Tamandua tetradactyla: one gene and its partners. The protein of the gene in region 1 interacts with the protein of each later gene in a pairwise test. Links are inferred from orthologs where the notes say so. Each region holds a gene or a part of one and is shown in the gene's direction. Other genes may lie near its edges.

Evidence for each region.
Region 2: the proteins of SUFU (region 1) and RCN3 interact in binary tests that used the Homo sapiens proteins (3 or more experiments, as listed by UniProt). The two-hybrid records come from large-scale screens. The link is inferred for Tamandua tetradactyla from reciprocal best matches to the Homo sapiens genes SUFU and RCN3.
Region 3: the proteins of SUFU (region 1) and HDX interact in binary tests that used the Homo sapiens proteins (3 or more experiments, as listed by UniProt). The link is inferred for Tamandua tetradactyla from reciprocal best matches to the Homo sapiens genes SUFU and HDX.

What each region holds. Positions count from the first base shown.
Region 1 is NC_135339.1:64,379,256-64,387,630, forward strand, and holds the start of SUFU (suppressor of fused homolog), read left to right. Parts: upstream 1-4,729; 5' UTR 4,730-4,915; coding exon 4,916-5,097; intron 5,098-8,375. Other genes in the region: ACTR1A (alpha-centractin), read right to left, coding at 2,464-2,511. UniProt on the Homo sapiens protein: Negative regulator in the hedgehog/smoothened signaling pathway. Down-regulates GLI1-mediated transactivation of target genes. Down-regulates GLI2-mediated transactivation of target genes. Part of a corepressor complex that acts on DNA-bound GLI1.
Region 2 is NC_135342.1:11,591,182-11,599,279, reverse strand, and holds the start of RCN3 (reticulocalbin-3), read left to right. Parts: upstream 1-4,552; 5' UTR 4,553-4,644; intron 4,645-5,003; 5' UTR 5,004-5,008; coding exon 5,009-5,250; intron 5,251-6,838; coding exon 6,839-7,041; intron 7,042-8,098. Other genes in the region: FCGRT (IgG receptor FcRn large subunit p51), read left to right, coding at 2,517-2,786, 3,308-3,424, 3,616-3,725. UniProt on the Homo sapiens protein: Probable molecular chaperone assisting protein biosynthesis and transport in the endoplasmic reticulum.
Region 3 is NC_135353.1:85,477,620-85,485,736, forward strand, and holds the start of HDX (highly divergent homeobox), read left to right. Parts: upstream 1-4,388; 5' UTR 4,389-4,523; intron 4,524-4,669; exon of another isoform or gene 4,670-5,043; intron 5,044-8,117.

The sequences.
Region 1 (8,375 bases):
TCTTTTCCCTGCTTTCTTTGTCCTCCTCCTTTAATTACACTCTCCTTAGCCCAGAAAGAAAATTGTAGCAACATGTTAAGCTATGGAGATGTTAAATTTGCCACACTATTCTCATAAAATTGGCTCAAATATTTAAAATGATTTTTCCTATCCATCTGTAATCTTGAGAGTTAAAAACACAAACACACAGAACAAACAAAACCAACTCTTTAAATTTCAAACAGAAAGAACTACACATGGCCCCAAATCTAAAAATGTGGCAGATATTCTGCAAAACGGGAAAATGACTTAAGTTCTTCTATTTCACCTTTTGGGAATTATTAGGATAAGGAAGAGAACGTTTTCCCAGAGAAAAGACAATCCTTTAAGCTTTAAAACTGAAAATGCATCACTGCTTTGACGCATTTCGTATCCATTATCAGAAAAGACAAAGGAGGAATTAAGAAGCATTAGCTTCAATGACTTTAAAGACAGAACTTCTGCCCAATCATTCAAAAAGCAAAGGATCTGGTCAGATGCATGGACTGCTCCTTCTGACTGCTGATGAAAAATAGGAAATTGCTACCAATTGTTAATTAATTAATTATTTTTACAACTAAAGAAAAAGCAGATGAGTATACAGACTGGCTGAAGATAGAAATGGTAGTGTTCTCTGGAAAGCAACATCAAGAACAACGAGTCCTAGTCAATTCCCTCCAAAAACTAACTGGGATTTCCCCCCATCCTTTATTTAGAGACATCTCTGTTACTATGACAAGAGATAATTCAGTCATTCATCCACCCACCCATCAACCCAATGAAAAAAGCATTTATTAGGCACATTATGTGTGCCAGGCACTGCCCTAACTACTGTGTGTGTGTGTGTGTGTGTGTGTGTGTGCAGGGGGGTGGGGTGGGGGTTTGTAATAAAAAAAAATAAAGGAACACCATTTTCCCCACAAGGATTTAACAGTCTAGTGAGGGAAGAAAAAAAAATTTCAAAAAGGGATGTCTCACTGAGCTCAACCTCACCCTTTCCAAGGCAGAAGCCATACCCACAGTGAGAAAACTAACAACAAAAAAACACCTTTCCTTAGAAAAAGTGAAGAACTTGGAACTGGATCTCAGTCTGAGTTTTGATTCCTCAACTCACAAACCTGGTAGTTTTAAATACGTTATTTAATCTCTCCAAGCCTCACTTTCACGCATAAAATGAAGATAGTTAATTCTTAACCTACCTACCAGACCCGAACCTTAAACAAGATGATGCAAATGAAAGTACCATGTAACATGCCCAAGGGCTGGCTCAAAGGAGCGATCTGAAAAAATCAGTTTAGGACAGAGGGGATTGGTAGTTTAGCCCCAATGGAGGGACCTAGAAGGGGCACAGAAAGGTTATCTCGGTGGGACCATAACCTTTCAGTGTAAAACAGAAATGCAGCAATCTCACAACTATCGCTCCCAATTACAAGTAGTATTCTGATTCTTTACATTTGTCACTATTGATGCATTTGCGTGGGGCGCTAGCAAAATGAATAACGAATAAAACATTCTATTTAGGGCTTGTATGACCCTGGTCTCATGTGTAACCTTGGGCTCACTTTACCTCCACGAGCTTGTTTTCTTATCTGTAAAATGACAAATTTCCTTAACTGTCCGCAGTTTTTGAGAGGACCCAACTCGAAAGCATGTGAAAGCTCCTTGCAGACACTAGAGCATCTTGCAAATATTATTATGTTTAGTAATTATTGTTTCCTCAACAACTAACATTCCTAAGAGGAAGGCACCTCCCGTCTTGCTTTGTCATTCTCCTTTCTTCTCAACATTTATTAATTTTATGCCTTATAATAGCAGAAATAACTGAAACCCTATGGCCATTTCTGGCACCAGATTCTCGGACCCCACCTAGATACACTATTAAGCCACCCCGCCAGTTCCGGACCCAAGGAAACTCAGTCCTTCCCACCCGCCGGCCTCGCCCTTCAGGCCCCACCCCAAGATAATCCGTTCAAACTTCATGCAGCGCCCCGCCCCTCAAGAGGGGGAACACTACGGCGGCCTGGAAGAAAGGCAGGAGGGCGGGCCAATCACTGCATAGGGTTGCCCTCATCCGGAAAGGCTTAGAGGCGGGGTTACTGGTCAAGATGGACAGCTAGCGCAGCCAATAGAATTATCCGGGAATGGGCAGAAGGCGGACATCGGGAGCTCACAGAGAGGTTAAGGCCCCTCGAGCCAAGGGCCCAAGAATCTGACTCGGACTACAGTTCTTTCCTTTACCCACCCCAAAGTTCTCCATCCCAAGGTTGCCAGCCGACCGCCCTGCCTGCGGTCTATGGGTGGGGGAGGACGGAAGCGGCGGCGATAAACCCGCCTGACAGGCCAGGCCGGTGACAAAGAGCCGGCCGCCCAGCCTGAAACCTGGGAAGCCATCCCTTCGGGGATGGGAGCACAAGTCCTTCTAGAGAGAGGAAAGAAGCAACTCACGTTGTCAATTACGACTGGCTGGTTAGCGATCACATCGTAGGACTCCATGGCAGAGTAATCTCTCTTTCCGAGGAAGGAACTGCCAGCCCGGTCCGCTGCAAACGCCGCTGACACGCATGCGCAGTCTAGCCGCCGGCACTGGGCAGTCAGGGAGGGGCGCTACCTCCTTTGCTAGGAACTACAACCCCCAGCATGACGTGCACCAGGGTTGGCGGAAAACCCTCCTCGGAGACCCGCCCAGTTTAAAGGACTGGGCGTTAGCGTTTCGGTCGCACAGTATTCTGGGGTTTGTAGTGTCCATGTTCATAAATAAGTAGACTCGGACACAGATTGATGCTTAAATTGCGTGCTCGGATCTGTAGTCTCTTTGAAGCGGTTCGCAATGCGTGCTGAAATGCGTAGTTTTTTTTTTAAAATACTTGTCTGTAGTTTGGTTTGGATTGGTCAGTAATTCGTGGCTGTTTGAATTTTTATGGATCAGTCATTGCCCACCCTATCCCCAAACAATGTACGGTTGCCATGCTTTTATCTGGGTCTTTAAGATATTAAAAACAAGCATTTCCTATTGCCATTACATTCTAGACATATTAAACAACACTACACACAGAAGAATATGCTCCCAGAATACAGGAAAATAATAATAACTTTAAGGAAAAAAGCAGTATATTGCAGCTTTTTGCATTTAAAAAACTTTTTAAATAGGTGTAAACTTTATAAAAGGCTGACAATCTGAATGGCATTTGGAACTACTGGGTATAGGTGATTTGTTTTTATTGTCATCATGGGAACATATATACAACGCAAAATTTCCCATTTTAACCTTTTTCATGTGTATAATTTAGTGATATTATTTACAGTCACGGTGTTGTGCTGTCATCACCACCATCTATTTCCAAAACTTTTTCATCACCTCACACAGAAACTCTGTACTCATTAAGCAATAATGCCTCACTTTTCTTCACTTTTATCTCCAGGTAACCTGTAATGTACTTTCTGTTTCAATCAATCTATGAATTTGTTTATTTTAGGTATTTCATATAAGTGAAGTCATACAATATTTGTTCTTTGTGTATGTCTCATTTTGTTCACCATAGTGTCTTCAAGGTTCAACAGTGTTGTAGCATGTGTCAGGAAGTCATTCATTTTAATGGCTAAATAAAACGGGTATACCACATTTTGTTTATTCATAATCTGTTAATGAACATTTGGGTTGCTTTCACCTTTTGGCTATTGTGAATAATACTACTATGAATGTTGGCGTACAAATATCTTTTTGAGTTCCTGTTTTTAATTCGTTTGCGTATATAAATATGGGTGATTTTTTAATTAGAACATCGTTAATATAAGGGTTTCGGGAACTGTCCTAATATCTCTTTAATTTCCACAGAAATATTGATTTTTAAGTTAAAAATAACTATGACTTTGATGGATAAGATAGTCCATCAAAAGAAAGTTTATGTGGCACTGCTCTCATATGAGACCAGGGCCTTTTTCTCTATGTTATTTTTCTCTGTTCAAGTTGGAGGGACCCTTTAGTCAATAGCAGTTATAGCCAACACTCCCTTCTGTCCCTTTCTCTTGGCATTTCTTCGCGATCGACAGGAAGACAATTCCAAATCCTATGCCTTAGAAATTAAAGAAAAATTATTCCAGTTATGGAGAGTCAAGGTAACAGCGAAAGGCAAACCCATAGCAAATGATAAATATTGAAGTGCCTCGAGGTAATCTGCAGTTCATCTACCTAAAACAGAAGAAAAAATGTCATCGTTATTAAAAGCGTTAAATTATTAAAAGTCGACTTGTTCTATTTCAGCATAGGACCCCTGAATTTGGCCGTGTTAACAGTGTCAGTCAGTATGATTTAAAGACGTTCAAAGACAGTAAGAAACATTAGATTAATAATCCATTAAAACTAATTCCCATGGACGAATGAATCAATCCATTGTCATAGTTATGTTTAAATCCTTGTTAGTGTATCAGCAGAACAATTGCAACCCTTTTGTCAGCGCCATTCCCAGTGCTTTCGTGGGACTCTAGTACTTCAAAAGGATGCTCAACATCTGTATTTGAATCTGGTTCCCTCCGAACACTAGGGGGAGATAAAGAGCCTTGGAACACCCTCAACTCAAGGTGGGGAGGCGGACCTATTGTCAGGTCACGCCTTCCCCATCTGTGACTGGCACAGACGCTAACCAATTGGTGCTTGGATAGGGCGCGCCGGCGCCCCGCCCCCCTCGAGCACCCCGCGGCATCAAGGCACCCTCTTGTAGACTCCGCGGCGGCAGCGGCGGCGGCCTGGGCGGACGAAGCGCGGTGCGCAGGCGCGGAGCGTAGACCTCGCTGCAGCCCGGATCGCTTCGGGGAGTCGTACCCGCAGAGTCTACCCGCTGGCCCGTCAGTGCTTTCCCCTTCACCCACCCTCCCGGGTTACCCTAGCGCCCTAGTTGCCCCGATGGCGGAGCTGCGGCCTAGCGGCGCCCCGGGCCCAACCGCGCCCCCGGCCCCTGGCCCTACTGCCCCCCCGGCCTTCGCCTCGCTCTTTCCCCCGGGACTGCACGCCATCTACGGAGAGTGCCGCCGCCTTTACCCTGACCAGCCGAACCCGCTTCAGGTTACAGCTATCGTCAAGTACTGGTAAGACCTGGGCCGTGGGGAGACGGACAGGGGAGGAAAGCGCCCGGGGCAAAGAGATTTGAGGGAGAGGAGGAGGAGGAGGGTTAAAGCACTTGGAAGGAGGGCTTTCTGCTTTGAGGGAAGGAGTTAAGGCTCAAGTTGGGAATGGGGACAAAGGGGTTAACGGAGTGTGTGGTCAGTGAAGGGTTAACGGGTGAGGGGAGGATGAAGGGTTAACTGGGATTAGGAGGATGGACCGAGAACTGGGGGTGTGTGAATGGGGAGCAAAATGGGGAACGTAGTGAGAGGGGAACTGTAAACGTGGTGAAAGGAGGGGTCGCCAGTAGGGGGTCATTAGTGGGCGAGGGGAAGCCAAGGCGGGGGCTGAAGTGGAATGGGGGAGGCGAGGCGGGGCCTGGGGAGCAAATGAGAGAGCTTTGGAGCAGCGAGGCTGGAGGAGCTCCGAGGGCAGGAAACTGCATAGGATAGGGACGGATCTGGGGCACCGGGCTTTCTAGTGAGTTGGAAAGGGAACGAGTTGAGAGGGTTGTGCTCGTGAAGAGATGAGGAGGAGGTCTCCTTTTGATACAAGTGAGCTCAGACTCAATATCAGTGTATAGCTTTTGCTTTTGAAGTTTGCCGGAACAACTCTTCCTGATAAACTTTTTGCTTACTCTGCACGGTTCTTTAAGCAGAACTCCCATCTGGCTCTGCAACTTCTTTGCTTTGGAACATTGTCTAGAATAGGGGCAGGATCAAACGGACCCATCTTTTGGCTAAGGGTTTACGGGGGTCACAGCTTACATTTCCACTGGGAAGTAAATGATGGGGACCTGGGATCTCAGGCAGGGAGAAGAGGAAATGTGCAGTGAGATGTTAAGAGGAACTTTCTGGCCATGCGTTTCAGAATATAAGTAGGATTTTCTCAGGGAAGCTGAGGAGGGTAACCCTCAAGTAGCTCCCTTAAGGAGCACACTGGATTATAGCTAGGTGGGCTGCCTTTGAGGAGTGGGTCTTTTCTAGTTTCCCATTCCTGTTTATATCCTGTGTCTTTTTGCAGCCTCTGGCCACAGATGGGACTTTGGGAAAGAGTCAGTCCTCATGGTCTTTCTAGATGAAATATTAACTAAGAAATTAGTTAAATCTGGCCAGGACTGTACTCATCAGGTATTGTATTAGATGCTCCCCTTCAGTGGGCCTGGAAAGACAGGTCAGGCAGCTGAATTGGTTTGGCCAGAGGGGAAAGGTAGGACCTGAAGTGAATGTCTTGGCTGATTATCTCTCCCTCCTCAGTGATTACCTTTTACTTCTGGAGGCTGTGCAGGACTGAGGCCGGTTCACTGTGTCAGTGGGAGGATGCAGGCCCTAGAGCTGACTGCGTGGAGGGCTTTTGGGATCAGTCATCTGCTCTTTAAGAAAGGGCCATGGGGAGCAGGCTGTTTCTGTCTGGGTGGCCAGGACCAGGTGTGGCTGGCGGTGCAGTTCTCTCTGGCAGGCAAAATGTTCATGTTCTTTGGTTGAAAGTTTTTGAAGAGAGCCTCTGAGTGGAAAGCAGCTCTTGCTAACGCTTATCGAATCTCTTATTTTAAATATGGGTTGTGATGAACTTTGTTGGAGTGTATCAAGAGAAAAGTGGGTCTGACTCTACCATACTGTTTGTTTAGGCCTTCTTTGATTGTGAGGAGAAATGCACACATAGACTTGGGCAGCTGTTTTTGTCTGTCACTCAAGTGGCCATAAAGGATGGAGCTGTGTGTAAAATGTATTGAAGCACATGCAAAGGACAAGACTGGTTTGGGCAACTTTTTTTTTTCTCTCCTTCCTGCTGCAAATTTGTTAATCAGGCCAGGTCTTATCTTTAGAGATGGACCAAAGAGGATTGTACAGCACTTTGTGAAATTAGAAATGCTACCTATATGTAGAAAAATAAGAAGAAATTGTTTAGCAGTTGGTATTTCCTAAGATCCTGAACTTCATATCTCTTACATTTAGGATCTTTGTATGTTGCCTAACTCTATGAGGCCTCTTTATTTCCCATAGCAGAATGACTGACCAAGGTTGTGTGGGTTTTACTGTGGCCCAGGGTATCTTGGGATTCCTCTTCCTGCAGCAGCAGGATTGCTCTTTGGCTAGTGGTGCTGGCCAGGACATCCTGGCTGAAAGCTGAGACTTTGGTGAGTCGGAAGCAGAGCCTGTGCCCTGGGCCCACTTCAGTCCTGTAACCAGCCTGTCCAGTGAAGTTAGGTGTTCGGGGTTCTCTTCTGGAATTAAGTTGAGGCATGCTCTGGGTCCTTGAATAACATCTTCTAGGTGCAGGATAGATTATTTTCCCCATACTCATCTGCTTCCAGTCAGGTTTCTATGAGTAATTGAACAGAACATGCAGTGCTAGGGGCCGAGGTTAATTTTGTCTGACTGTTGGTCATTCTCTGCAGTTAGAGTTTTAAGGATGCAATAGCCCCTGGGAAATGTGGAAATGCAAAGTGAGCTGCAGTGGTACAGCAGAAGGTGCATGGATGGTAAAAGTATCTTGGCCACTTGATGTTGGAAGGGAAAGATTGGGAATTCGTAACAGGAAACTGGAGCAGATATGGGGCTTGTCATCATTCCTGTCTCTTTAAGGATTCTGTAGTATGATAGGGCCTTTTCAGGGGTCTCTGCCCTTTTCTTTCCTCCTTCTGCCTGCAAACTTTTCTAAATCCAATTGATGGACAGATTAGTCATATGATTTGGTATAATCAGAGTTAAGGCAGACATGGAGATTTATCCTTTTTCTAATCCACTCAGCTGAGTTTCTAAATTATTTGTAGCAGCTTTCTTACAAGTTCTATAAATAACTTAACATTTCCTACTAAAGAATAAGGATTTTCTACAAAGACAAATAATATTCTGGTGAAATAGTATGAAACCAAACCTACTGGTTTTAAATAGTGTTGAAATTGCATGGTACTTGCTGGGATTATATGTAATGTGTCTCTTACTTGGTTGTTAGCTTTCTTTCAGCGTACTATCCCGCTTGCAAAGTACACTCCCCCAGTGTCCCAGAGGCAGGCAAAGTTTTTGGAGTCTGTGGAATGGTCAGATGTCCAAGGCAACTCAAATTCAGAGTGTTTGTGGGCTAAGTGCAGACTTTCTTCTGCTGATGGTTTCCATTTAGTCTGTTTCTCAAATCTACAGAGTTTCTCTATCTGTTCCGAAGAAAAGCACGATTTTTTTAAAGCACGAATCACTGTACTAAAGGGAACCACTATTGAATTAAATCCTCAGAGTGAGATAAAGACTGAATCTCTTCTACAATT
Region 2 (8,098 bases), on another chromosome or scaffold:
ATCCACTTTTTTGGAGTTGTCCGTTCGAGTCTTTTGTCCATTTTTAAACGGGAATTTTAATCTTATTTTTCTTGTTTAAGTTCTTACTAGATTCTGGGTGTGAGTCCTTTGTCTTATATTTGCAGTGAAAATAAGCCTATTCCTGGCTTGTTTTTTGACTCTCTTCATAGAACCTTTTGATGAACAGAATTTCTTAATTTTAGTGAAGTTCGATTCTTCCGTCTTTCATTTGTTGCTTTTCTGTGTGTTCTTTAAAAAATCTTTTCTTGCAAAGTTAGGAAAGTATTTTCCTCTAGAAACGTGACATCTTGAGTTAATTTATGAGTATAATGTGAAATAGGAATCAAGGCTCCTTGTTTTCCTTAGATTCATCGCAAATCGCAAAGATGATCAATCCCTCAACAACACACACACACACACACACGCTGAGTTGCAGTAGAGCATTTTCATAAAGTGGTTTGGCTCTGCTTTGCTTCTAGACTCTTCCATTGATCTGTTGATCTATTCTTTTCTTTTTTAACTATCATTAAACCTATTTTACTATCAGCTCTGCTATGGCAGAGCCTCCAAAAATTTCGTACAAGAATGTTTGAATGTTAAGAATTACAATATTGTTGACCTATTCTTGAACTCATACCTCACGCTTATGATTAATATAGCTTTAAAATAAGTTTTTATATCTAATATGGGAAGTTTTCCAACTGCCTTTTTCTTCTTAAGCATTGCCTTGGTTATTCTAGGTCATTTGCATTTCTATATATGTTTTAGAATATGCTTATCACTTTTCACCAAAAGTAATTTTGGGGGATTTTGATTATGGTTACATTGTATTTTTAGCTTAATTTGTTTTTTGGATCAATTTGGGGAAAATTGACCTCTTTTCATCTTGTTTTCTAATCCATGAACATGGTATATTCCTTTGATTCTTTAGGGCTTTAATTTCTCACAGGAATATTTTGTGGTTTTCAATGTGGGGATCTCACAAATCTTTGGCTATATTTATTCCAAAGTATTTGCTATTTTTTGATGCCATTGTCAATGGAATTTTTTTGGTACAGCTCTATGAGCTTTTCAAAATTTTTATTTTGCTGACATACATCCCTTAAAAATATTTCTAAAAATGGACTTTCCATTTGTTTGAGGCTAGTTTATAGAAACACTACTGATTTTTATGTAATTACTTTGTATCTGGAAACAATATTATTGCTTATTCTAATAGTATTTTTCAGGTTCTTTTGGATTGTGTCATCTTTGACATGTTTTCTTTCTTTACTTTACTAATTTTAATCCTTTTATTTCTTCTCCTTGTCTGATCCCAAGGACAATGTTGAATACTAGCTGGTATTCCTGAACTCATGGAAAAAGCACTAAATCGTTTCCATGAAGTATGATGATAGCTATAAGTTTTTCATAGATGCCCATAGTCAAATTGAGGAAGTTCTTTTCAACTCCTAGTTTGCTAAGAGTTTTTTGTTTGTTTGTTTGTTTTTTAGCACGACTACATGTTAAATTTTATCAGATTATTTCTTCTGCATCTCTTGAGGTGACCATGTGTTTTTTTACCCTTTATTCTGTTAATATGGTGAATTATATTGACTGATTTTGAATATAGTTGTATTAAACTTCACTTCATCATGATGCGTTATCCTTTATAGAAACTGTGGGATTCTATTTACTTATATTTTGTTTAGGAATTCTTAGTCTATTTTCATGAAAGGCATTGACATTAAATTCCCTTTCTTGTAATATCTTTATGAGGTTTTGTTATCAAAGTTATACCAATAAAGGGTATTGGGAAATTTCTTCTATTCCCCAGAAGATTTTGTGTAAGAACACTTATTTTTTTCCTTAGTTGTTTTGAAGAATTCAGGAATTGTGTCATATGGGCCTAGAGTTTCACGTAGAAAAGTTTTAAATTATGGATTAAACTTTTAAAATAGATATAGGACTACTCAGATTTTCATTTCTTCTGGTGTCAGTTTTGGAAGGTTGTATTGCTCAGGAATGTGTTGCGTCCATTTACATTGTCAAATATGGAATGACATTTTCCATACCATCTTCTTCTTATCTTTTGCCCTCTTACTACCTTTTTAATGGCTATCAGATCTGTATGATGTCACCCTATGACAGCATTTTTCCAAGTATGTTTCCCTTTTATTTATTTGTTCACAAATACTCCTTATCCCTCTGCTCTCATTAAAATGTCAGTTCCATGACGACAGGGAGCATGTGTCCTGGCACATGATGTGCTCCCGGCATGGACGTGTCTGTTGGAGGAATGAATGGATGGGGGAGGGGTATCCAGGGGGACACCCTTAGGATGGCTCGGTGGAGTGTCTGTTCCCCTGGAGGGCACCATACCCTCTAGGCTCAGCACAGAGCAGGACACATGGGGTCCTCTGGCTGTGGTGGAAGGAATGGCATCTTCCCTCTGTCCTTATTCAGCCCTGCACCAGGACTGGGCCTGGGAGTTCAGGGATTTGGGGGTTCACAACCATCTGCCTGTTTGTCTGCAGAGCCCCCCTCCATGCGCCTGAGGGCCCGACCAGGCGGCCCTGGCCTTTCGGTGCTCACCTGCAGTGCCTTTTCCTTCTACCCTCCGGAGCTGCAACTGCGATTCCTCCGGAATGGGCTGGCAGCTGGCTCCGGGGAAGGTGACCATGGCCCCAACGGTGATGGGTCCTTCCATGCCTGGACTTCACTCACTGTTAGAAGTGGCGACGAACATCACTACCGCTGCCTCGTGCAGCACGCAGGGCTGTCACAGCCCCTCACTGTGGAGCTGGGTGAGGTCCCGCCGGGTGGCCGTCCCCTTCTGTCTGATTGCCCTCCACCTTCCCTCCTGCTGCTGTGGGTCCTCCCTGCGTCTGACCACCTTCCATCCTACTGCTGCTGGTCCTCCTTGAGTCTGACCACCTTCCCTCCTGCTGCTGCGAGTCTTCATGGAGTCTGACCACTTATTGTCTGCTACTACTAATTCTTCCCAGGACTGACCATTTACTGCTTTGCTACTGCCAGTCCTCCGTGAGTCTGACCTTCTACTGTTCTGCATCTGTAATCCTCTCTGAGCTGGAACATCACCCACCCTGGTGCTACAGTTCCCTTGGCCAGGTTGGCTCTTACATACGTTTGGGTACATTCTGCCCAAACATGGAGTGTCACCTGCCCCGGCCTTTCCTCTGCTCACCCTCACCCCAGACATCTGGGATCTCTGAGAGGGGGAAGCTATAGGAACCTCCAGCTCCCTGACCTGACTCTGATGGGGTGGAGGGTACAGTCAGCCTCTTATAGCCTTCTCTGGCTGCAGAATCACCACCCAAGTCCTCGGTGCAAGTGGCTGCAATTGTCATCAGTGTCTTGCTGCTCCTGGCAGCAGCTGCAGGAGGAGTTCTGCTGTGGAGGAGGATGAGGAAGGAGCTGCCAGGTGGGTGGCAGGAAGAGGAAAGGGCCCGAGAGAGAGGGGTAGGCACCCCGAGGGGTGGGGGTGGAGGGACAGAGACCTATCACAAGAAAGAGACAGACACATATACACAGAAATTGGTGGTGGTGTTGGGGAGGGGGGCAGGAACTCAGAGAGTCTTAGTAAATCTTATGTCCTTCTCCTTCTCTCCTCAGTCTTCTGGGTCTCCCGCCATGGGGACGACATAGGGACGCTCCTGCCCACTCCTGGCCAGCCCCAGGACGCTGACTCTCAGGATGCAAATGCATTGCCAGTGTCTACCTGACCCCCACCTCACGCCCCATTTTGCCTGCTGTCAGCTAATGTTTGTCTTCCTCTCCCTTTCATGCTGTGAGACCTCCAGATGGAATCCTGGCATCTCTGAGCCTCCAGAAGGAGTCCTGGGCCCGTTGTCCTCCTTCTGGACCACTCCTCCTGTAGGCTGCCTCAGTTTCCTCTCCTGATATATTTGGCTGTTTTCCATCTTCACATGTATAACATGATTTTGGGCCCGAATCACTGTGTTATCATCATTTCACATTTCCAAGCAGGGGAGGTGGGGGGATGAACGTGGTGGAAGACCTGAGTTTCAAATCCCACCCGCAGCCAACATCCTGTCGTGGTGGAATTTGCCAATTTTAAGTGCCAGTTCGCGTATTTACCAGTCGTAAATTCTACAAATAACTTATTGATTGCCTAAACTGTGACGGGCATTTGAGGAATTCTTGGATGGAACTTGACCAGGATCCCTCTGATGGAGTGGAGGAAAAGAGTTGTTCCGTCGCTAAGAGAAGGGGCTACCTTCCCGGACCTCATGTCTTAAACCATTCCAACAAACGGAACGGGATAAAAATACATTTCCCATGAGGCTTTGAGGTCAGAACAACTGGGGGTGGTCGGGCAGGGCGCCCCGATGCCTGCCGGGAGTTGTAGTTCTCCCCGGCCTCGGCGCGCCGGCATCGCCCACCCCGCCTGTCCTGGGAAAGGGGGGCCGGGCCTCGCTGACCGCGCTTTCCCTTGTGTACGTGGCGAGGGGCGCCCGCGGGCCCTCCGAGCGCCCATCGGCCCCGCCCCCAGGGCCTTCGTGCGCACTCATTGGTCGGGAGGCGGGGCCTCTGCCCTGCGGGAGGCGGGGCCCGGCTGGAGAGCGGCCAAATTGGGCATCTTCTGCAGCAGCCAGAGCCCCGCGCGCCGAGCCAAGCCAGGTTGGATAAAGGATAACGGGGAGCGGGTGGGGTGCAGCCCCGGGGGATGCGGCTCGGGTGGAGAACTGGGGTCCAGGCCATAAGCGAGTCCCCGGAGCCTGCCTGATCTCTGCCTGGCCGCTACCCCGCACTGCATTGGCGTGGGACGAGCGCCACGTCTCCCCTTGGACCTCCTGGACGTGAGGCTCTGGGCCTTCCCACAGCTGGGCCCCCCTTTGGGGACCCTGTAACCCTTTGTTCCCCAGCCCGGGCCCCAGCTCCAATCTCTGTCCTGCTCCTCCCCCAAGCCCCGCTGCGGCCTGTCCCTACGCTGCCCTCTTCTCTGTGGCCCGTGACGCCTGGCCTCCGCCCTTCCCCAGAAACTATGTGGCGACTCTCGCTTCTGGTGCTGCTGCTGCTGGGGCCGAGGCGGGGGGCCCAGGGGAAGCCGTCCCTGGACGCTGGCCCACACGGCCAGGGCAGGGTGCACCAGCCTGCCCCCCTCAGCGAGGCGCCTCACGACGATGCCCACGGGAACTTCCAGTTTGACCATGAGGCTTTCCTGGGACGTGAGGTGGCCAAGGAATTCGACCAGCTCAGCCCAGAGGAAAGCCAGATCCGACTGGGGTAGGAGAGAAACGGGGGAGGGAGGGGAAGGGGCAGAGGTGGGGTGGGAGGAGAGAGGGGTGGGGGCATTGATGGGGGACTGGGAAGGAAAGACAGAGTAAAATGGACCTCGGCTTTTTGCGAGAATCCAAAAATGAAGTTCTCCCTCCCGTCCTCGGGTCAAAACACAAATCAAGGGAAAATCAAGGCCTTAAGATATGACCTCTGAAGGCAGGGAGATCTGGGTTCAGATTGTGTCCCCCAAGACATTATTTGTTCCTTTGTCCCAGACACCTCCCCTCCCCGAGCTCCAATCCCCTGCTTGGCAAATGGGTCACCAGTTCCCTTTGACAGGGGCTTCGGTGAACAGGGAGATTGGGCATGTAAGGAGCCTAGCCAGGGCAGGGAAAAGCCTGAGCCCCGAGTCCCAGGGTGAGCTCGTGTCACCCCAAACCTCAGGGGGCCGGTGCACCTCTGTGTGGGAGAGACAGGGCCAGGGTGCGCCTGGGGGCAGGTAGGAGATGGAACCACTGCATACATAAACCCCACCCCCATCTGTACTTCTGGGCACCTGCTGGGTACCAGGAACCTTCACTCGAGGTGCTAAAAGGCACAGCAGCAAACAGAACAAATCAGACCGACGTCCCTGCCCTATGCCCTAAAGGGCATCCGATGGAGAGACGCCTATTAGAAAATGAAAAAGCAAGCAAGACCTGGAGGAAGTGAAGTGTGGAGGGAAGAGGTGGGGAGGGGAGATCAGTGAGGAGAGGAGGTGGGTGAAAACCTCAATGAGAAGTTTGTTTGAGCCATGTGGTGCAGCATTCCAGGCAGAGAGTAGTGAGTGCAAAGGCCCTGAGGCAGGAGCGGGCCGGTGTGTTTAAGGGACAGCGAGGAGGCCAGTGTGGCTGGGACCCAGTGAGTGAAGCAGGAGAGCCGGAGGTGAGGTTAGAGGGTTCTAGAGACAGTCTGGCCTGGGAGGAGGGCGGCGCCCTGGGAGGGCTTGGCCGTCTCGGACTTGGCCCTGGGGTCTGGGGACCGTGGGCCTGAGGAACGGTGACCGGGAGGAGGGCCCACGTGGGCTCACAGAGACTGGGCGAGCGCCGGGGTCTTGGCAGGGCGTAGCCGGCGGGGAGGGCGGGGGCCCCGAGCCTGTGGCGGCCCGGAGCTGACAGAAGAAAGGGGGCGGGGCGGGGTCGGTGGAGCAGGGGCGGGGCGTAAGCGCGCGCAGCCCTGATGGGCGGGGATTAAGGGGAGGAGCCTGCGGCGCACGCGTCTGTCCGGGGAGGGGGCGGAGCGGGGGGCGGGGTTAGAGAGAAGTCCGAGCCAGCGGAGGGGGCGGGGCCTGAGGCCGGGAGAAACAGGTGTGTGTGACTGTGGTAATCGGGGTTCAGAACGAATCCTGGGTCGGGGGCCCCAGCTCAGCCTGGCGCGCCCTGGAGCACGTGCAGCGTCGAAGGGCGAGGCCGGCGTGGGGGATGCGGTCCTGGATTGTGCGGATCGAGTTTTCTGCCCCGAATGGGGGCGTGTCTGGGGCGGAGCCTGGGCGAGGGGCGGGGCCCCGAGGTGGGCGGGGTCCGGAGACTGACCCGGGTCCCGCCCCGGCTGGCAGGAGGATCGTGGACCGCATGGACAGTGCTGGGGACGGGGACGGCTGGGTGTCTCTGGCCGAGCTCCGCTCGTGGATCGCGCACACGCAGCAGCGGCACATACGGGACTCGGTGAGCGCGGCCTGGAACACGTACGACACGGACCGCGACGGGCTCGTGGGCTGGGAGGAGCTACGTAACGCCACCTACGGCCACTACGCGCCCGGTACGCGGCGGAAGCTGCAGCCCTGCGCCCCTCACGCCACGGCCCTGACCTTGTGGGCCCCTCATCCTGAGAAGCCCCAAGCCATTTATCTAGAAGCCAGACATTTGACCTCTGACCCTTGACCAGGAGTCACTTTTAGGACCCTGTCATCCTGAAACCCCCAATCTCTGCCCTCTGGCCTCTCATTCTGGGACCCACGACCTCTATGGCCCGGTGATTGGAGGACTTCTGACCCCTGGCCAGGGTTGCCTAATGTCCTGTCATCCTGACCCCTGTGACCCGTCATGCTAAGAACCCCCAAAGCCATTTACCTGCCCCCCGACTCTCGGTTCCCTCCTCTCTGTCCCCACAGACTCCTCCTCCCCCACACCCCCGCCTGGGCCCCTCACCCCTGCCTCCTCCCCGGCCTCCCTGCCTCAGATCCCCACCTCCAGCCCGACCCTCAACCCCCGAGGGCCTTTTTGAACCCACCCAGAGCTGACCCTGCCCTTGCCCTGTCCACAGCCCCCCCAGGGCTCCCCAGAGTCCCCAGGAGAGACCCCCCCAGCCCCTCGGCCTGGCCACGCCCACCCGTCCTGCTTCCTTTCCCCCGAACCCGCCCAGCTCCTCCAAGCTGCACGTGTGTCAGACTCTGCACAGGCTGGGCTCTCTGTTGAACATGCCCGAACCCTCCTCTCGTCGGGCGACCCCCGTCTGTATAAAGTCACTGCCTTCGGGCGTGGCTTTGGGATCAAACCCGCCAGTTTCCCCCAAAGTCACCCGTGGGAGACACTTTTCCCTTCATTGAGCGCCAAGAAATGCAAGAGCCCGTTTCACTTGCCCGTGGTGAGACTTAGACGCAGTGCTGCTGGTAAAGAGGTCAGCACCTAATAAGCTCTCAACACAGGGGAGCGAATACATATATGCTATTATTATTATTATTATTTTCCTTTTTGGCATTTTATTTATTCTCTCAACAAAATTGCCATGGTACATAAGATTAATCAATAACCCCATCAGATGGATTAGGTGTTAAATGAGTACAACAAGTAAATGAACCTCACAGAGATTATTTTAC
Region 3 (8,117 bases), on another chromosome or scaffold:
AGGGTTTTTCTGAAGTTGGAATTCCTATAATTCCCTGGCATGCTCCTCACAATAGGACATGAAGTCCAAAGATACTTTTGAACCTTTTATTCTTTCAGTGGAGTCTCCTATTCTTTGTTTTGTCATTAAACATAATTTTAATTTACTTTTTTTATGCGTATCTTTATTTTATTACTCATCTACCTGTACACTGGATAAAGAGAATGTCAGTTACAAGGATTTATAATCACATGGTTAGATGATAAAAGCTATATAGCTCTACAATCATTATCAAAGCTCAAGGCTACTGGATTACAGTTCAACAATTTCACATATTTCCATCTGGCTATTCTGATACACAAGAACTAAAAATAAATATTTATATAATGAGTCAGTAGTTATAATCATATGTTATATCCTAATTTCTCAGTAACACCTCCTCCCTCACATTTGATCATTTTCTCAATCTTCAGGGATATCTGGGCAATGACCATTTTGACTTCTTCATGCTGGAAAGGGGTGTCAACCTTATGGGGTAGAAGTATGAAACTGGTTAATGTTCTTGGAGAGACTGTTACCTCTCTCAAGGGTTTCAGGGCTTATTTGGCATAGGAACAATCTGGAGGTATTAAGTTTCTGAAAAAAATAAACTTGTTAAATAAATATTTATAGAGTCCTAGATAGAGCCCAAGGTATTCTTTATAGTTTTCAGGAATACTGTTGATTCGGGCTTGGTATACTGTGGCAAATTTGCAATATCTGGTGAAGCTTGCATAATAGTAATCTCCAGAATGACCTCTTGACTCTATTTGAAATCTCTTAGCCACTGAAACTTTATTATGTTCCATTTCTTTTTCCCCTTTTGGTCAAGAAGACATTCTCAATCCTACAATGGCAGGACCAGACTCATCCCTGGAAGTCATTTCCTATGTTGCCAGGGAAATTTACACCCCTAGGAGTCATGTCCCACATAGTGGGGAGGGTAGTGAGTTTGTTTGCAGAGTTGACTTAGAGAGCAAGGCCACATCTGTGCAACAAAAGAGGTTCTTTGGGGATGACTCTTTGGCATTATTATAAGTAGGTGTATGGTTTCAAGCTATTATGTACTCCAGAAAAGCCATGTCCTTCAATCCTCATTCAATATTGCTGGGTGGGATCTTCTTGAGTATTTCCATGAAGGTGTGACCCGCCCAATTGTGGGTAGTGACTTTTGATTATAGGGTTTCCATGGAGATGTGTCTCCACCTATTCAAGGTGGGGTTGCTTAGTGGAGTCCTTTAAGAGGGAACCACTTTTGAAAATGCTTAAGAGCCACCAGAACCAACAGAAGGCACACAGCCGGAGACATTTGGTGATGCATAAAGACAATGCCCCCGGGGAAGCCATTAAGAAAACCTTGAGAGAAAGTTAGCAGATGTCACCATGTGCCTTTCCAGCTGAGAGAGAAACCCTGAACATCATTGGCCTTCTTGAGCCAAAGTATCTTTCCCTGGATGCCTTAGTTTGGACATTTTTACAGCCTTCCCTTAATTTGGATATTTTCATGGCCTTAGAACTGTAAACTTGCAACTTAATAAATTCATCTTTAAAAAGTCATTCCATTTCTGGTATATTGAATTCTGGCAGCTTTTACAAACTAAAAGAGTAGGCTTATCTTTGAGGCTTCTAATCTTAACTACTGCACAGTTCTCTTTGGCCAGCTATGTTGTTGGTGCTTGCTATTTTGTTGGACATTTTCAATTATTGTTTTCACCTTAAATCATTAAGACCTGGTGTGGCTCAATATTTTAGGGTTTAAGTGGTGGAATGAATCTGTTGGCACACTGCTCCTGAGGACTCTGTCTCTAAGGGCTCCTAGAAAGGCTACGACCTCTCCTCCTCCAGTTGCACTTCCAGATGCAAAGGATCTTTTTTTCTATAGCCCCTTTTTCATTAGAGAATTTGTGGGCTTATAGAAAAATCATGTGTAAACCACAGCACTCCCATATACAACCTTATCATTAACACCTTGGATTAGTGTGGTGTATTTATTAGAATTCATGAAAGGACATTTTTTTGTATTGTCCATTGTTCACAATAGAGTTTACTGTTTGTGTTGTACAGTCCTATGTTTTTTAAAAAAAATTTAACAGTGACATGTATACAGCCTGAACTTTATCCCTTTTACCAGATTCACATATATTATATATAATTCATTGTAGTTAATTACATTCACAATATTGTGCTGCCATCACCACATAAGATAATTTGAAGTAATTCAAGCTAGAAGTGATAGTGATCATGACCATTGTACTAGTGATGGAGGAGGTAAGGAGTGCTCCAGTTAAGGACACAGAGTGTGACAGAAAAAGAGGAATGGGAAACTGGGTGAATTTAATTGCCTTCTTTTGTACTCTGGTATATATATATATAGTCTTGTCAATTGAACTATAAACTTTTTGAGTATAGAGACTCTGCCTTATTTTTTCTCTCATATCATCTCAGTGACAGGTACATGGTAGGTACTTCATGCATTAATTCATCATGAGTAGGTCATCTGTGAATCCTCCACCTTCACCCTTTTCATTCCTTCTTTGATGTGATTCACTCATTTATTTTAATTCTTGCTATTAACACTGATCCAGACTCAAGTCAGTCATCCAGAACATGAATTACAAATACACCTTTCTAAACGGTCTGTTTCACTCCAGTCTATCCCCAATATGATTCAAACTGTAAATTACTTGAAATCACTTGAAAATTTTGCATTTAGTAATTCATTCAACAAGTACTTATTGATCTGTCTTCTTTTGTGTCTAGAACTCTTCTAGATCCTAGGCAGACAGTAATAAAAAAAAACATGAAAAAACCTGCCCTCATAGAACGTACATTTGCAATAATAACTAGAAATATAAGCAGATTAGATAATAATAAGTCCTAGGAAGAAAAATAAAACAGTTAAAGGGGTATATGGAGTGTTGGGAAGATTGCTGTTTCAAATGGAAACTACTTTGAAGAGATTACATTTGAGCAGAGATTTGAATGAAGTGAGGAAGTAAGTTGTTTTAAGAAGAGAGAGAGCAATAGTAAATAGTAAAAGGACTCTGATGAGCTTAATTTATATGAGAAATTGAGAGAAGGTGAGTGTGATTGGAAATTGAGTTAGCTGGAGATTGGCAAGAACTGAGGTAAGAAAGATGGCAAAAGCCAAATCATTTAGGGCCCTGGAACTGTGGTAAAAATTTGCATTTTATGTTATTAGTGAATGGATGACATTGGGCTGTCTGGAACTGGGGATGATCTGACAGTAAAAAAAAAAAAAAAATCACCCAAGCTGCTCTATAGATCACTGACTGAGAAGGCTGCCTTAAGGCCTTTGGTGGTTTTTAATCAAATTGAAGTTCTCCACCTATTTTCAAAGGCTTTAATAATCAATGTGTCCTATCTCTCAGTAGTCCTTAAGTCCATTTGTCAGATTGTTTTCATTATGAACCTTCTTGTGTATATTTCTATTTCCTCACTTTTGCCTATTCCTTCCCCTATCAAACAGTGCCTTCCATCTTTTTCTATCCGGTAAGTTTTGTTTACAACATAGAACGCTTCCCTCATTATCCCCATCTCACTGATGTCTCCCATCATTATCCAGTGTTGCTCTTGTCTTTAGTTTCTGACTGAATATACGATCATGCAATTTATTTTTTTGTCATGCATGTTTTATGTGTGCTAATCTTATTTCCCCAATGATTTTCCTACTTTTGTAGTAGCACAGAACCAGTGAATTTTACATATAACACAGCAAACTGTAGGAGTGTTGTAAGTGAGTGTTGACTAATGTAATAGGTTTCTTGAATCTTTTACTGTAATGCTGTTTTGGTGATCACTTAAGCAACTTCTGGTAGAACCGCGATTGAGGTTAGGTGCATAAAACTCATAACTTTAATTTCCTGTCTTAGTCTCCAGAGTCAACCAGTCTCATATAAATAGTACATTTGCTCTTACTGACAAATTCCAAAGCCTCTAAGGGCGCCTTCTTGATTTTAATAACACTAAATATGTACCTGTCAGTCAAACACTGAACACAAAAGACTATATTTCTTTATGTGCACACTTGATCTTAGCAGCTTGCAACAATTCTTTTGAAAGCAAATCTCAAGTTGGAAAACCAGACAGCACCTGCTCAAAAGGTTCCATACATACACTATAATGACAGGGATACTGGGCATTTGAGCTATTCTGGAAGGGAGAGGTACAGAGAGGCCTGACTCTGTATGTTGCTAATCTGTGCTGGGAAGAGGCAGCTACACTGCAGGCAGCCACCTCTCCTCCCCCTCCCCACTCTTAGGTTCTGGGCTGAGGCCAGGGACTGTCCAGAGCTGATCTCGGGCTCCCATTGGCAGCTGTCTTTCGTGACGTCACGATCATGATGAGAATTGATGATCGGACACGCTGATTTCATTGTCTGAGGCGGCAGTAGAGACCCAGGAAAAATCTCGCTGAATTCGCCTGCCCCAGCATTGACCTGTTCTGGGAACCCCAGATCCCTCCGTGACCGCACCACGCACGAGGTAAGCAGCCAACCTGGGTGGACGAGAAGGGCTAAGGAGGGAGAGCAAGGCACTCGGCTGCTGCTGTGCCCCGTGTGGGACCTGTAGGTTCCGCGGCCTAAAGAGGCAGCCAACAAACTGGTGCAGCTGCTGCGGAGCCAACTGCCTGTATCCTCCGGGCGAAGACTGGCGTCAGCGTAACGTAAAAAACGAGCTGAGAAGAGAGATGCAGTGGGTATTGCGAGAGCGAAGGGCCTTGCTCCTAGAGAGGGCAACGTTTTAAACGCGCTTCTAACCCCGTAGTAGCAAGAGGTGGCGCCTCTGCCTCTGAAGAAAGAAGGGAGGTGAATTCTATCACTTCGAGATTCCACTGGACAGTAGATTTCTCATAGCCGTACTCAAACATACTGAGAGCGCTGCGCCTGCGCACTCGCATGTTGCCAGGGTTGGGTTCCCGGCGAGAGGGGGTGTGGAGCTTGCGCAGGAGCCTTTTCCGTTTTGCTAGAGCGGGTGCGGTTGAGCTCAGTCTGGGCGGAGTAAGGTAAGGGATGAGAAGTTGGTAAGGTGAATATGTTTCAAGCGCCAGTTTAATGGGGAGGGATCTGCTAGTTACTTTTAATCTGGGCTACTGATAATCTAGCCCTAAAATGAGCGATAAATTTGAGAAGACATATTCTTAATCTAAAAATATCAGGTTTGGAAAGAGCTTGGAGACGAATCTGTGGAATAGAAATGGGGGGTGGGGGGTGGGGGAACTAATTGTTCAAATCAGTCCGACTTTCAGTCTTCAAAAAGCTATGATTTGAGGTATCACTGATTTTGAGGTTAAACTCTTTGAAAGTCTCAGAGTGAGATTCATTATGGAAACTCAGGAAGTTTTCCTTTCATCCCAGTTTCAGGTTTAGTGCCATTAAGTCCTTCTTTTTTCACTGTGTCTCTGCTACAACCATCTGAGGCAAAGCCTATTTTAAGTTTTATTTTATAATTATTATCTGAATGAGAGGATGACACTGGATTTTCTCATTTAAATTGTAGAATTTGAGCAGGATGGGATTTTCCCTAGGTAAACCAATCTCCTCATTTTACGTATGAGGGAGCTGAAGCCAAGAGAAGTGAATGTACTAGCATTAATAGATGCTAATTTTTTTAAGCAATTAGTGCCAGGCTCTGAGTTAGATCATTATAAACATTATTGCATTTAAACCCCACAGCATTCCTATAAGATAGTTTCTAATTATTATTTCCCATTTTACAAATGAGAAGAGGCTGAAAGCCCAGGATCACACATCTACTAAACATCACAGTTAAGACACAAACATACGTCTGTTTGACTCTTATTCACCAAGCTATGCTTGTCTAAGACCAAACAATGAGTTTTGGGCAAAGCTTCAGCTAGGATCTAAATATCTTGATTCCCAGCCCAATTTATGTGTATGCATGTGTATGTCTTTTACAAAAATGTTTTCCATGAATAACATACCACTTCTATCAAATCAGATAGATTTTGGTTGAAAAATATGGCATGACATTTTTAATTCATTCTGCTTTTTAAATTGTTCTGTGCTTTCAGAGGGGATTATGTCCTTGTTCAGTGAAATCCCCAATAGGATAAAACATATTTCAATTGTTGATTATTTTTACAGTGGAGTCAGTCAAGAGGTAAAACCAAGAATTTGGTTGTCTTAATATACTTGCATTAAGTACAACATATCAAAGCATTTTGGTTTGAATGTAAACATCAATCATTCTGTTTTTCACTCATTTTGAAAGGACTTTAATAATAGCTAATGTTTGTTGAGCACTTAATTGTAGGTTGGACACTGTTGCTAAAGGCCTATGTACATTATGTCATTGAATCCTTAGAGACATTTTGTGAAATAGGTACTATTATTATCCTTATTTTGCATATTAGGAAATCAGAATTTAGGTAGCTTGCCCAACGTCATTCAGCTAGTAAGTGGCAGAACCAAGATTTGAAGGCAGGTATTGCTCTGGAGTCTCCCTTCTTGACTACTAGGTTATGGATTAGAGAAGTAAAATGAGACCCTGTCTTTATTTAATTTAAAAGAGTATGCGTATGTGTGTGCCAGTAATTTTCCCCGTAACTTGTCTCTCTTTCTGTAAGCATTTCAAATCCACTGAGAATATGCCTATGACATGTTCCTTTTTCTCTTAGGGGAGATGGAAATCTTTTACAGAAAGGCTGAAGTTTAGGGGAAGAGGGTTATTGTGTTGGCCTCCAATGGCTTCAGTGGCAGGAGGCAGATAGACCCATAAACTATCCTAATAATCTACACTTTCATCAAACCCAATGAAAAGATATTTTCACTATCAGTTGGTACTTGATTATAAGGTTGTAAGATTATGAAGTTATATAAATTTTGTACTACACTGATGTATTGCTTTGATACTTTCTTATTTAGTTAGCTTGGTATGCCTATTGTGTGTTTTGTGAGTGGAATAGAGGTGCCATTTGGAAAAATAATTATCTAAGACCCATTCTCCGATAGCCTTGCCCTTTCCCAGACCAAGCATTTATTGCATTAAATTCTTCTCAACAGATCAATAATTGAAAGAGACCAGGCCACATCTGAGCAACAAAAGAGGTTTCCTGGATGCAACTCTTAGGCCTCATTATGGGTACTCTTAGCTTCTCCTCTACAGAAATAAGTTTCCTATGGGCAAGCCTCAAAATCAAGGACTTGACCTAATTTCCTGGGAGTCTCCAATGGTTGAGAGGGTACCCAAAGCTTCCAGATGGGAAAGTTCAATAGTTCCATATGTATGCACATATACTTTTTTTTCCCTTAGGATCTTGAAGGGATTCTACCAATACTTTTAATCATCAGCCCCCCCACCATAGTCTAGGATGTGTATCCTGGTATTCCATTAAACTATACAGAATTACAAGGCCTTGTTCCCATTCTGGACTCCAGGAGTTTGGATTGTTTAAGTGAGCTATCCAGACAGATTGATTTAGGTTATGAATTATTGAAAAATTAGGTTCCAGACATAATAAACCACTCTGCCTTTGGTCTCATATAGTACGTGAAGGTCTAGAGTACATACGCTATTATCTTTTACCCTGTATTCTGATTTACCTTATATCCAGCCAGATTAGCTTCGTTTTTAATGCTGAGGCCTGATCTCTTTTTCGGTTACTTTAAGTGTTATTATATATAGCTATGCTCACTTTCAGGGCTGTACTGTTCATTTCTGGGTCTTAGGTGTCACAGAGTTATTCAAAGTTCCGGAGAACTACCAGTTGATACACATATAGCTCAGTGTCTCAAAATCTAGAAATACATTTCCAACTTCAGACTATATGTGGCTGCTATAAGGGCTTACAATCTAGGCTCCAATTTTCTTATAAGTATTTTCTGAAAGAGACCTTAGCATATCTGTTCTTTTATTTCAGGTTTGTTTTACACAACACATTGTCCTAAGGTTTATTCTATTCATTGAATACCTCTCGACATCTTTCTTTTTTTTGTTGCCACACAATATTCCATCATATAAATGTATCACAGTTTGCCATTCTGCTTCTCAGACACTGTCTCTTTCAGCTCTCTCAGTCTATTGGGTATTATGGATAATGTCCAAAATAAGCAAACC